Linked DNA regions of Oryctolagus cuniculus. The protein of the gene in region 3 interacts with the protein of the main gene of each other region in a pairwise test. Links are inferred from orthologs where the notes say so. Each region holds a gene or a part of one and is shown on either strand. Other genes may lie near its edges.

Evidence for each region.
Region 1: the proteins of MTUS2 (region 3) and RTP5 interact in binary tests that used the Homo sapiens proteins (3 or more experiments, as listed by UniProt). The two-hybrid records come from large-scale screens. The link is inferred for Oryctolagus cuniculus from reciprocal best matches to the Homo sapiens genes MTUS2 and RTP5.
Region 2: the proteins of MTUS2 (region 3) and zinc finger protein 426-like interact in binary tests that used the Homo sapiens proteins (3 or more experiments, as listed by UniProt). The two-hybrid records come from large-scale screens. The link is inferred for Oryctolagus cuniculus from reciprocal best matches to the Homo sapiens genes MTUS2 and ZNF426.

Annotation. Positions count from the first base shown.
Region 1 is NC_091434.1:56,449-60,804, forward strand, and holds the start of RTP5 (receptor-transporting protein 5), read right to left. Parts: upstream 2,843-4,356; 5' UTR 2,507-2,842; coding exon 2,214-2,506; intron 532-2,213; coding exon 1-531.
Region 2 is NC_091447.1:67,469,266-67,473,489, forward strand, and holds the start of zinc finger protein 426-like, read right to left. Parts: upstream 2,843-4,224; 5' UTR 2,328-2,842; intron 1-2,327. UniProt on the Homo sapiens protein: May be involved in transcriptional regulation.
Region 3 is NC_091440.1:85,067,879-85,071,194, forward strand, and holds the end of MTUS2 (microtubule-associated tumor suppressor candidate 2), read right to left. Parts: intron 3,251-3,316; coding exon 3,034-3,250; 3' UTR 630-3,033; downstream 1-629. UniProt on the Homo sapiens protein: Binds microtubules. Together with MAPRE1 may target the microtubule depolymerase KIF2C to the plus-end of microtubules. May regulate the dynamics of microtubules at their growing distal tip.

The DNA.
Region 1 (4,356 bases), on a different chromosome or scaffold from region 3:
GCCGGGCGCTCGCCGGCCGCGGGCCGGCCGCCGTCCACCAGGGAGAAGGGCAGCGAGACGACGCGGGCGCCCTCGTGCGGGCACTCGCCGCCGTCCGCCGCGGCGCCGTCGAGGAAGTCGGTCTCGGCGAGGCCGCCGGGGTCGTGGCCGCCGGCGCAGCAGCCGGCCGCGTGCCCGGCCCTGGCCGCCGGCCCCCAGGCCAGCTCGGGCGCCGTCTGCAGGAAGCAGAGCTGCAGCTCACAGGCCTCGCAGCGGTCGCCGAAGCGGACCTCGGGGCACTGGCTGAGGTGGTCGCCGTAGCACCGCCTCAGGATGTGCAGCACCAGCTTGCTGAGGAAGATCCACACGTTGAGGGGGCTCACCTGGCAGTCGCCGCGGGGGCCCGGCGGCCCCGGGGGGCACATCCGGCACCGCTGGCCCCACACGCGCATCTTGACCAGCCCCTGGCGGCTGCCCGCGTCCCACCACAGGTGGAAGAGGATGTGCACGTGCGCCGAGCGCCAGACCCACAGGCAGCGGCTGCACTGGAGCCTGCGGGGAGAGAGGGCCGTGAGCCGCGGCCGGGCAGGACGCAGCTCCAGCCCGGGAACAGCCGGGTGCCGGCCGGCGCAGCCGCAGCGCTCGGAGCTGCCTCGCTCTGGGCCAGGCCCTGCAGCTTGAAGACCTGAGACGCAGACACGCGCACAGCAGGGCAGCACCAGGGTGCACCCCGGCCGGAGGCCTGGGAGCCACGCGCCCCCACATTCTGCTGTCTGCAGTGTGGACTCCCTGAGTGCCAGGGCAGGAGGGGGAGCCGACTCAGGGCCTCCCGGCTGGGCCTGGCCAGGTGATGAGAAATTTGGGAAATTTAAGGGGGTGCTGGTGTGAGGGATGCCCCCTGCAGCTAAGTGCAGGCTCGGGGGACCCTGGACAAGCCCCCTGGATTCTGAACAGTGCACCTCATATGTGAGCTGGAGAGTTGGGCACCACACCCCTGGCTGAAAGAAGCGCCCAGCTCCTGGCCCCCAGGATGGACTCTCCTCCAAGGTCCTTGGGTTGGGGTGGGCAGATTAAGCCACTACCTGAGACACCCACATCCCGTATCGGAGCACCTGGAATCTCCGCCTCTGCTTCCGATTCAGCTTCCTGCCAATGGACCTCGGTGACGAAGGTGCTGGCTTCCCTTGCCACCCACGTGGGAGACCCGGATGGAGTTCAGCCTGGCTAGCCCTGGCTGTTGTGGCCGTTCGAAGGCTGAACCATTGGATGGGAGAAGTTCTGTCTCTCCCCACCCCCATCAGTCTGCCCTTCATCTAAATAAAAATGAGTAAACTTTTTAAAAAGACGGGGCGGGGGGGCAGATGAAGGGCCACTCATTGCTGCCCTCAGTGACCCTGTCTTTGCGCTGCCCATGGGACTTTCCAGACGATGGAACTGCTTTAGACCCTGCGCGGCCGAGGAGCCTACAGAGCGCATGGACGTGGAGCTGAACTTCTAACTCTGCTTAAGTCTGATTAGCGATCAGAAGCCACAGGTGCCTGGTGGCCCTGGCTGGAGACATGGGTGTCGTGGTCCCCGTCGTCTGGGTGACCAGAGCCACCTGCATGCGCTACATGGCAGCACTTGGCTGTGGGGCCAGGCAGGGGCTTCTCGGTCTTCTCAGACCCAGCACCTGGAAGAGCCAGGGCTCCACCACACACTGGCCCCCAGATCCGGTGCTCGGGAGCTATGTGGTCAGAGGCAGAGAGCAGGACAACCGGTCAGCATGCCGAGGGGCCGACGGAGCTGCTAGAGCTGCCCCCTGGCTGGCGCCATGAGCCAGGGATGCACGCTGGGGAGGTTCATGGTGGTGATGAAGTATGAGGCTCCCTGGGGACCCTCTGCCACAGCCTCCCCAAGCAGGACTGCCCGGCTGGCTGGTTGCTCAGGCCTGAGCACCGCACCTGCGCATTCCAGGCCCTGCCTGGACACCATGGCAACACCACGGGAACAGCGCAGGCCAGGGGAGCGCCCACCCCCCTGGCAGCCATGATGTCAGCACTGTCGGGTCTCAGCTCTGGCACCGCCCGGCCCCACCCACCTGATGGGGGACAAGTCCAGGCGGGGTGGATGCCCGCTGCCAGCCCCACAGCACCCACTCCAGGGCCACTCGGGCCCGGTCTCAGAGCCTAGAAAGGCGCCTTCAGCCTCCCCTCACCCACAGGGGGCTCCCCCCCGCCTGCCCTTGGCCGCACCTTGAAAGCCCCTTCAGCCGATACTGGAAGCTGCTGCCGTCCAGGGGCCCCGCGGCCAGGCTCTCCTGGGGGAGCAGGACCCAGGCGTCTCGGGGCTTCCTCTCGCTCATCAGCTGGGCGAAGGTGCTCACCCACACGTCCGCCCCAGCCGCGTCCATGCTGCGCGTGTCTGCACTGCGGGCTGACAGCCGCACTCGTTCAGGGGCTCCCAGGAAGCCTCGGTCCCGCGCTGGCCAATCAGCTGCCTTGACAACAGCACGGTCTCCGTGGCAACCGGTTTGTCTCAGAGACATGGAAGCAGAGAGGAAAAATACAATGAAATCGCCTGTGACCCCAGCACCCAGAGGTCACGGTCGCGACGAGCTGGGTGTGCTGATGTCTGTGTGGCTGCCGTGTACATGGGCGTGTATGCTTGCACAGCCACTGTCACAGACCAGAGATCATGTGACACGCATGCATCGCCTGCAGCTGCTCTCTTCCCTGCACGACGCGTGAGCAGTGTCCCGTGAGCGTCTCTCCAAGGGTCTGGTATTTTCCAGCGGACTGCCAACCCTGAACTGGAACAGCATGGCACTAAATTCTAAGACACCGACATAAAAATGCCTAGAACATACATGCCAGCCTCACACCTCCCAGGCAAAGAACCAGCCCGCAGCTGTCCCTGCTGCCGCCAGCCTCAGGCCCCTCCACCACTGCGCTGCCCCCAGCCAGGCCGAGCCCCGCTTGTGGCTGCACGGCCTGAGCCGCAGCCTCAGCAGCCCTGCTCACAGCTTGCGGAAACAGCATGTCTGGCTTCTCCCTCCCTCCCAAGACTCAGGGAACAGCGAGAGAAAGCTAGTGCAGAAAGCAGGCCAGCCTTGGCCGTCCAGGATGGCAGGGCTGCACGCACGGCCAACCCACAGCTGTCAGTGAAGGACTCAAGCCGAGGCGGCCTCTGGTGACCGTGGCTGGGCAGCTTCTCCAGGACGAGGGCCATGTTGAGGCTGGGGTGCAGAGGTGGCCCCAGGAGCCCTGAGCATGGGCACCTGGCTCAGGGCAGCCACCATGGAGAGGAGCTTGTGGGCAGCTGCTCTGGCTGCTGGAGAAGCTCATGCTGACAAGAATAGACACCCCCAAGGGCCATTTCAGGGGACCCCCGGGAGACACCCCACACACATGGAACCAGAGCCTTGTAGCCTCTGTGGGCCCCTGGAAGCTGTCCCTTCCAGTCACTGGGGCGGGCTGCCCTGCTCACGCCTGCCCAGCTCTCTGGGGGCCTGCAGATGATGTCCCAGGTCTCAGGGACATGCCCCTGGACGGGCTCAGTGCCTCTCCCATGCCACACGTGGTCGCTCAGCTCACTTTGCCCTGCTCACAGCTGCACAGCCCACCTGCCCAGCTCTCTGGGCCCAGCTGCAGGTGCAGGGCCTGCAGACGACCGTCCAAGGTCTTGGGGATGTGCCCTTTCCATGCCACACGTGGTCACTCAGCTCACTCCGCCCTGCCCCGTCTGCACCTGGCTGGCTACCCATCTGTCCTCTACTTGTGGGCAGGGTGCTTGGTCCTTCTGGTTTTGTTTTCTTGTTTTTAAATTATTTTTATTTTGTTTATTTGAAAGACGGGCTGGGGGGCAGGGAGAGATCTTCCTCCTGCTGGTTCATTCCCTAGATGGCTGCAATGGCTGGGGTTGGGCCAGACGGAAGCCAGAAGCCTGAAACCCAACCGAGTCTCCCACATGGGTGCAGTGGCCCAAAAATTCAAGCCATCCCCTGCCGCTCTCTCAGGTGCACTAGCAGTGGAGCAGCCAGGACTGGAACCAGCAGTCGGGTGAGGTGACAGCACCACAGTGCCAGCCCAGCTTCGGGCCTCCGGGGCTGGCAGCCACCCGCTCTTCCTGAACCAGAGGACGGCAGGTGCTCTCCTGCACACAGGCACCTGCTGGGCTCTTGGCTGCCCTGGGCTTCTCTCCTGCCTCTGCCCTGGACACTGAGCGGCCTCTCACTCCTCCGCCGGCTCACCAGTTCTCTCCCTTCTCCAGCTCGCCGCTGATCCTGAAAAGAGCGTGCTGCTTTATTTTGCATATCTGAACGTGCTCTGACTTTCAGATACGTGCTGTCTTTCTGTGACAGACAGAGGAGGAACTACGGGACGTGCTTCTGGGAAA
Region 2 (4,224 bases), on a different chromosome or scaffold from region 3:
CCATAGCAAAGAGCTGGATCGGAAGTGGAATAGCCAGGTCTCTAATTGGTGCCCATATGGGATGCTGGCACTGCAGGCGGCAGCTTTACCCACTGTACCACAGCGCCTGCCCCTGATCTGCTTCTGATGTAGCTCTCTGCTTATGTACCTGGGGAAAGCAGCAGAAAATGGCTCAAATACTTGGGCCCTTGCCACCTATGTAGGAGACCAATATAAGCCTGAGGTCCTGGTTTCAGCCTGGCCCAGTCTGGGCCATTGCAGTCATTTCGGGAGTGAACAAGCAGATGGAAGATGCTTTTCTCTGTCTCTCTGCATTTCAAATAAATAAGTTGTTTTTTTTTTTTTTTTTTTTTTTTTTTGACAGGCAGAGTGGACAGTGAGAGAGAGACAGAAAGGAAGGTCTTCCTTTTTTTTTGCCGTTGGTTCACCCTCCAATGGCCGCCGCGGCAGGCGCGCTGTGGCCGGCGCACTGCACTGATCTGAAGGCAGGAGCCAGGTGCTTCTCCTGGTCTCCCATGGGGTGCAGGGGCCCAAGCACTTGGGCCATCCTCCACTGCACTCCCGGGCCATAGCAGAGAGCTGGCCTGGAAGAGGGGCAACCAGGACAGAATCCGGCGCCCCGACCGGGACTAGAACCCGGTGTGCCAGTGCCGCAAGGCAGAGGATTAGCCTGTTGAGCCACGGCGCCAGCCACCAATAAGTTTTTTTTTTAAATGCAAAAAAGAATATGTTTTTTACAACAAACAGAAAATCATACCTTTATTAGGTTTATATAATAAAGTTTCATTTTTTTAAAACATTCTTTTTTTCTTAAAAAGATTTTATTACTTATTTCAAATGCAGAGTGACAGAAGGGAGGGAGAGACAGATCTTCCATCCTCAGGTTCACTATCCAAATGTCCTTAACAGCCCGAGCTGGGTCTGGCTGAAGCCAGGAGCCAGGAACTCCATTCTGGTCTCCCAAGTGAGTGACAGGAACCCTAGCATTTCACACCATCATCTGCTGCAATACTGGCACCCCTTATCAGAGTACCAGTCTGAGTCCCAGCTGCCCAGCTTCGGATCCAGCTCCAGGCTAGTGTGCCTGGGAAAGCAGTGGAAGATGGCCAAATTATTTGGGCCTGTGACATCCATGTGGGAGACCCAGATGGCTCTGGCCGAGGCCACTGTGGTCACTAGTGGAGTGGATCAGCAGGTGGAAGATCTCCCTCCTCTTTAAATAAATCTTTAAGTCAATATAATGCAGGAACAATAGGAACTAACCTAGATTCAACAGACTAAAAGACATTAATAAATGCAACATCAAAATTATGGCACAGTGGGTTAAGCTGTTGCTTGCAACGCTGGCATCCCATTTGAACATGCATTCAAGTCCCAGCTGCTCCACTTCTGATCCAGCACCCTGCTAATGTGCCTGGGAAAGCAGAAGATGGCCAGAGTGCTTGGGTCCCTGCACCCACATGGGAGACCTGGACAGAGTTCCAGGCTCCTGGCCTCCACTGTGGTCACTGAGGGAGTGAACCAGCAGGTGAAGATCTATCTCTCTCTCTAACTCTGTTAACAAAACCTTGAATGGATTTTTTTTTAAAAAAAGATTTAATTACTTATTTCAACTGCAGAGTGACAGAAGGGAGGGAGAGACAGATCCTCCATCCTCAGGTTCCCTATCCAAATGTCCTCAACCGCACAAAAGCCAAATTTGGAACAATGTGGAGAATTCTGGCTTCTACTAAAAAGGGTTGATATTACGTGACAGTCTTTCACTTTCTTGATTGAAATAATAGTCCAATGTCTTTCACCTTTGAGTTGCATTAGCAAATACCTAACAACGGAGACATCACACCTGCAGCTAACGTGGAGGCATCATGTCTAATTTATTTTCAATGCACTCTCATATAATTTTAACCATAAAATATGTTTGCTTATCTGAAGAGAGAAAAAACATGGCACATGCTGAACACAGAGGAGTCTATTACAATGGGCATTCATTGTCCTAGGTAGATTTAAAATTTTTTGAAAGAAGGTGGGGAAAAAGATAGACTATCACTCTGTTAACAGTCAATTCGACTTGTTTCAAGCCTCGCGTTAGTGAGGCGGCCCCGGACCGTCAGCTCTGTGAGACGCCCGGGCCGAGGCACATCGAGCGTTCGACTTTCCCTTCCGCAGGACGAGCTGTCGCCCACGAGCGTGTAACCCTCCCATCGAGACACCTCTCTACCGGGCGTCTCCGAAAGCACCTTCATCCTCCTGCTTCAGCGTGACGTGCCGCCACGCCGACTACGAGCACGGGGAGGCCCGCTGCGAACCCACTCTCGCTCGGAGCTCACCGGAACGCGCCGGATCCCGGATCCCTCCTGGAGCGCGGGGCACGGGCGGTCCCCGGAGATTTCCCAAGGCCCGACCTCAGAGGACGGAAACGTCCCCAGGCCGCGCTGTCGCGACGCTTCCGGCCCGGGCCCGTCCGGGGCACCCACGCGCGGAGCGGCCGCTCGGGCCCCGCGGCCCCGGGAGGACTCGCGGCTCCGGAAGGCCCGGGCCTCCCTGAGGAAGCCACCCGCGTCCTTCGTCGCCTTCCTTCCACACTCAGGGCCTCCCCTTCACGCGAGCGACTCCAAGAAGGAACCAACCCGAGGAGGAACGAAAACGCAGCAGCTTTGGAGATTTCCCGAACCCGGGACGGGGGACGCGGCCGGATTGTGACGCCACTTCCGCCTCCGGGCTGCGGGGCGGGACTCCGCGGAGCTTCCGGTTGCCCTGGGCGCGGAGCGCTGGGGGTCCCTGAGGGGACTCGGCGCGGTTGAAGTGGACGGCGCCTGTCCCTGAACCCCGAAGGCTGTGGGTGGGGACTCGCCGCACGCTGGGTGCTTTCCTCCGCTCGCGTGCCCGGCGCCCTTGACAATGTCCCACGGCAAAGGGCAGGCCGAGCTATGAAATAAATGGCAGGTCACCTCCTCCCTGTCAGCCTTGTTTGTAGACCTCTATTTCACGTATCTCTCGGGATAGAACGCTAAATTCTAACCGTGGATTCCTGTGCGTTTTCAGGGTGTTGATATTTTTTGTAGCTCATAAACTTTTTTTTTAAACCCAACTATTTCTGGGCTTTGTGGGAATCTCCAGTGATCCAGGGCCTGCCATCCAATGTTGTAAAATGTCGCTGCCGGCTGGTGCTGTGGCCTATTGGGCGCCGGGTCGAGTCCCAGCTGCTCCACTTCCGGTCCAGCTCTCTGCTGTGGCCTGGGAAAGCAGTGGAAGATGGCCCAAGTCCTTGGGCTCCTTCACCAGCGTGGGAAACTTGGAAGAAGCTCCTGGCTCCTGGCTTCAGATCAGCATAGCTCCAGCCATTGCAGCCATCTGGGGAGTGAGCCAGGGGATGGAAGACCTCTCTACCTCTCTGTAGGGGTATTTTTTTTTTTCAAATAAATATATATTTTTTAAATACCACTGCTGGATGGCATTCTTTACTTAGGAATGATTAAAGAGTTTCTCTAGTAGTCATGTTTGTTGTAGTTTTCAGTGGCTGGTAATTGAGAAGTAAATTTTTATTTAAATTCTTAATAGCACATTTTATCAGGACCTAATAAGTACATTATAAACTTTCTTCTTAAAGTTGTATTTTACTTATTTGAAAAGCAAAGTTACAGAGAGGAGGGAGAGATAGAGAGATCTTACATTCTCTGGTTCACTCTCCAAATGGCCCCAATGGCTGGAGCTGGACTGAGCCAAAGCTAGGAGCTTCATCGGGGTCTCCCATGTGGATGGCAGGGGCCCAAGCATTTGGGCCATCCTCCGCTGCTTTCCCAGGTGCATTAGCAGGGAGCTGCATCGGAAGTGAAGCAGCCGGGACTCGATCTGGGGTCTGTAAGGGATACCAGCGTCACAGGCGTCAGTTTAACCCTGTATGCCACAGCGCTGGGCCCCATTATCAACTTTCTAATGCAGCTTTTTCTGTTTTCAACTTTTGGTGTACAATTTTTTTTTTTGTAGTCAAAAGAGTTTATGTTTTTTTTTCTTTTAAATTATTTACTGGGAGGGGGCAGAGTAGGTGGTGGGGAAGAGCCCCAATCTCATGGTTCACTCCTCAGATGTCCACAACTGCCAGAGCTAGCAAGGCAGCAGCTCAGAGCCAGGAACTTGGTCCAGGTCTCCTGTGTGTGGGCAAAACTCAACTACCTGAGCCATTACCTGCTACATACCAGGGTGCACACTTGCAGGAAACTGGGGTTG
Region 3 (3,316 bases):
CCTACGCACCCTGCAAGACCACCGAGGGAGGTGGCAGACCCAGGGGACTCCTGTGACCCCACAAGTGCCAGGCACCTGCAGGCCACTCCAGGGCCAGGCTTGCAGCTGCCCACACTGAAGGCCCTTGGGATGAGAGGAGCGAGCACTTGCAGGTGAAAACAGGTGAGAAATTTGTGAAATCTATGCATAGTTTATGACTTTAATAATGTACACTTTTTGTGGGTTTTTGAAGACACTTCATATGCATGGATTTCAAAAAATTTATGCCCCAATAAATTAATATTTTAATTCCATTTTCCATGAGCTTCGTGCAGGACAGCCATCAAGGTCTGACCTTGAACCTCATAGTGCGGGGACTGTGTTCAGCCACTTGTGTCCCTCCAACCCACACCAGCCCACCTTGCCCCGCCGAGTGGAGCCACTGAGCCCCCAAGGCCGCGGTTTGCGCTGCTGAAGAATTCACCGGTCGGAGAGGAGGTCTCCAGGGTTGCTCTCAGTGACAATCAGGTGCCCCCGCATGTGCTCACACACACACACAGGAAGGAACCCAGCCTGCCAACACCTCCCTGCCTGGACTCTCCGGCCTGAGGGTCAGGTCTCCAGTGACACCAAGTGCATATCACAGAAAGTCCCTCATGTTCATTTTAATAGGCTTTAAACACAGATACGTTAACACAGAAACTGAAGGGAGGAGGAACGCGGTGACCCCATTCGACTAATCCCAGAGAGTGCCAGACCTCCATCCCACTCCCGCCCCAGGCTGACACCCAGGCCACGGTCACGTCTCCTGATTGCTACGAGACAGGGCTTTCCTGCTGCAGCGTCTATGTCTGAGAAGGGCCCCTGCCCCCGAGCTGGGAATGGAGACAGAGGCAGAGAGAAGTCCCAGTCCTAATTGTGTGTGTTCAGAGGGGAATGTCCAGGAGGGGGCGCAGCAGCACTAGCTGTTGTCCCATGTGTTTCGGAAACAGAAATGACTCAGATGAAGAGCTAGACGTGATGGGCGTCCATGAAGCAAAAAACAAAGCCAGGGTCATGTGGACATCAGCTCAACCCCAAGGTCACGGCTGTCCAGGGCAAAGGTCTGGTCCACCGGGTGGGTGAGGGATTACTTAGCGCTACCATCGCTACAACTTTGAGCGCACAGCCTAACACACAGCACCACACGCTAACATCGCGGGGGAGTCTGTATCGCTGGGTGACTGCGTTTGGCAGGCGGCGGTTACGCAAGACAGCGAAGCTGCAGCCTAGCTGCTGTTGGCAGCCTGCGCCCGCCGAGAGAATAAATAATCATGGCAGGATCTACTCTAACAGGATGCCCAACCCCAACATTACAGCAGCATGCAGAGCCACAGAAGCAAAAAGAAATGTGTCTTCAATGCCTATCTACCGTGGGTGTCCCCAGCACGGGCAGGGCCCCTGCAGGGTTGAGAGAAAACGAGATGTGCCCCCAGGCCAGGAAGCCCGACCCCCGGGCTCATGTCACCAACGCAAGCCACACGCGCGTTCCGGGCACGCCCCTGCGTGGCCTCCTGCGCGTTCTGGGCACGCCCCTGCGAGGCCTCCTGCCTGCCGTCCCCGGTTCTGAGCCCTCGCAAGACCCCTGCCTGGAACTTCGTGCCTTGGGTGTGCTCAGCCCAGCCTACGCTCAGGGCGATTTTTAGGGGTCTTTGGGAGAGGTGTACAGGGTCTTAGACAAAAGGCGCCATCACCCCCACTGACGGTCAAAACTACTTCTGTCACTTGTGTCTTCCACTCTGCCACGGGGGTGCCTCTTTGTATCCTAACGCTATCGTGTCCCAGACAGACGCCAGGCCGGTGGCCAGGGAGCCCTCACCGGCTGTGCCACTGCGCCCCGGCCCCGGTCCGGGAGCTTTCTCGGCCGGAGACAGGACCACTGTGTGGGGGAGGGGGGAGCACTGCTTGGCCACCCACCAGAAAGAATGACTTTTCTGGAAGCCTCTGCCGGAACCCCTGAGCCACCTTCATGTGCAGTGACGGAGCCGAGTCGCTGAACCAAACTGAAGTGGGGAACCTACCTAGGAAATGCAAGTCTGAGATCGGCTTCCAATGAATTGAGCGCATTTAGCAACAGCCTCGCAGCAAGCCTGGTCCAGACAGAGGCCCCGTCGCTTGCCAGTTTCCCTTCCTAAGGAATGGTGCACCAAGGGTCTCGGTCACCTCCAGGGTCACCCTCACCCTCTCTCTCTCTCTCAAGGATCCCGAAAGTTTACAGCTCGATTCTGAGATGCCACAAGACCTGTGCTCAGGAGACGGTAGCTGAGTCACTGTGGTGCGGAACACCTGCAAAGCGGCGGATTCCCCTGGGCTTTCCACGCAGGGCAGAGCGGCTCCTAACTAGACCTTGCGAGTGGAGCCCTCACCTGGGACGGCCTGAGACGCTGACTCTCACGAAGGCGGTTACCGTTCACAGATGGCTGGTGTTTATGCTAGATAGAGTACCACTTGGTGGTAGGTTCAAAGGCGCTTTTGCTCCGTATGGTTTTTTTTTTTTTTTTCCTTTTTCTATTTTGGGTAGAAATATTCCTGGGAAACTAGATAGAAATGCATTGTCATTTCCCAATAATTCTTAGGCACGAGTTAGAAAACTGCTGACCGTGACTAAAATATGTCAGCACTTGACGTTATAAAAAAATGCAACTGAGAACCGCCGCATGTGTATATCCGTGTATCTAAATACACACACATCTCGGTGCAGTACACAACGATTGCTGAGTGTATATTGAAAATTGAGCTTTTTGTGACCTGAAATTCTGCAGTGGAAGTTCCCTCGAGAACTGGAGTTGTCTTTCTTTTGGCGCTAACTATGGTAAAACGCTTGCACATCACACACCTTCCTAAATGCCAACAACACCAGGACAGTCTCACACGGTGGGGGGCAGAGGACGCGGCCTACGAGGCAGGATGCAGCTACTGAGCATGCGCGCTTGGGCCGGCTCCGGGCCGGGCCCCGGGTCAGTCCGCCCTCGCGGTGGACCGGAAGCCGGAGCTCCCCTAGGCTGCGTGGTGACGTCATCTGGGCGTCGTGCTGAGTCTGGCTGGAGAGGAGGGCCCCGAGGAGGCGCAACCTCGGTAAACTGGAGACGTTGGGGAGAGTTTAATCGGGCTGGTCGGATCCCCGGTTTGCAGCTTCCAAAGCAGCTCCTCGTTGGTTCGGCTCAGTCTCTTCTTCTCCTGGGTCTCCTTCTCCACATATTCCTGCAGATTAGCGTTCTCCTCTGACAGTTGTCTGCACGGGGAAAAGGACAAAGTTGGCAGTGCGTGAGCAGGTGCGCAGCTGGACGCAGGGCCCAGG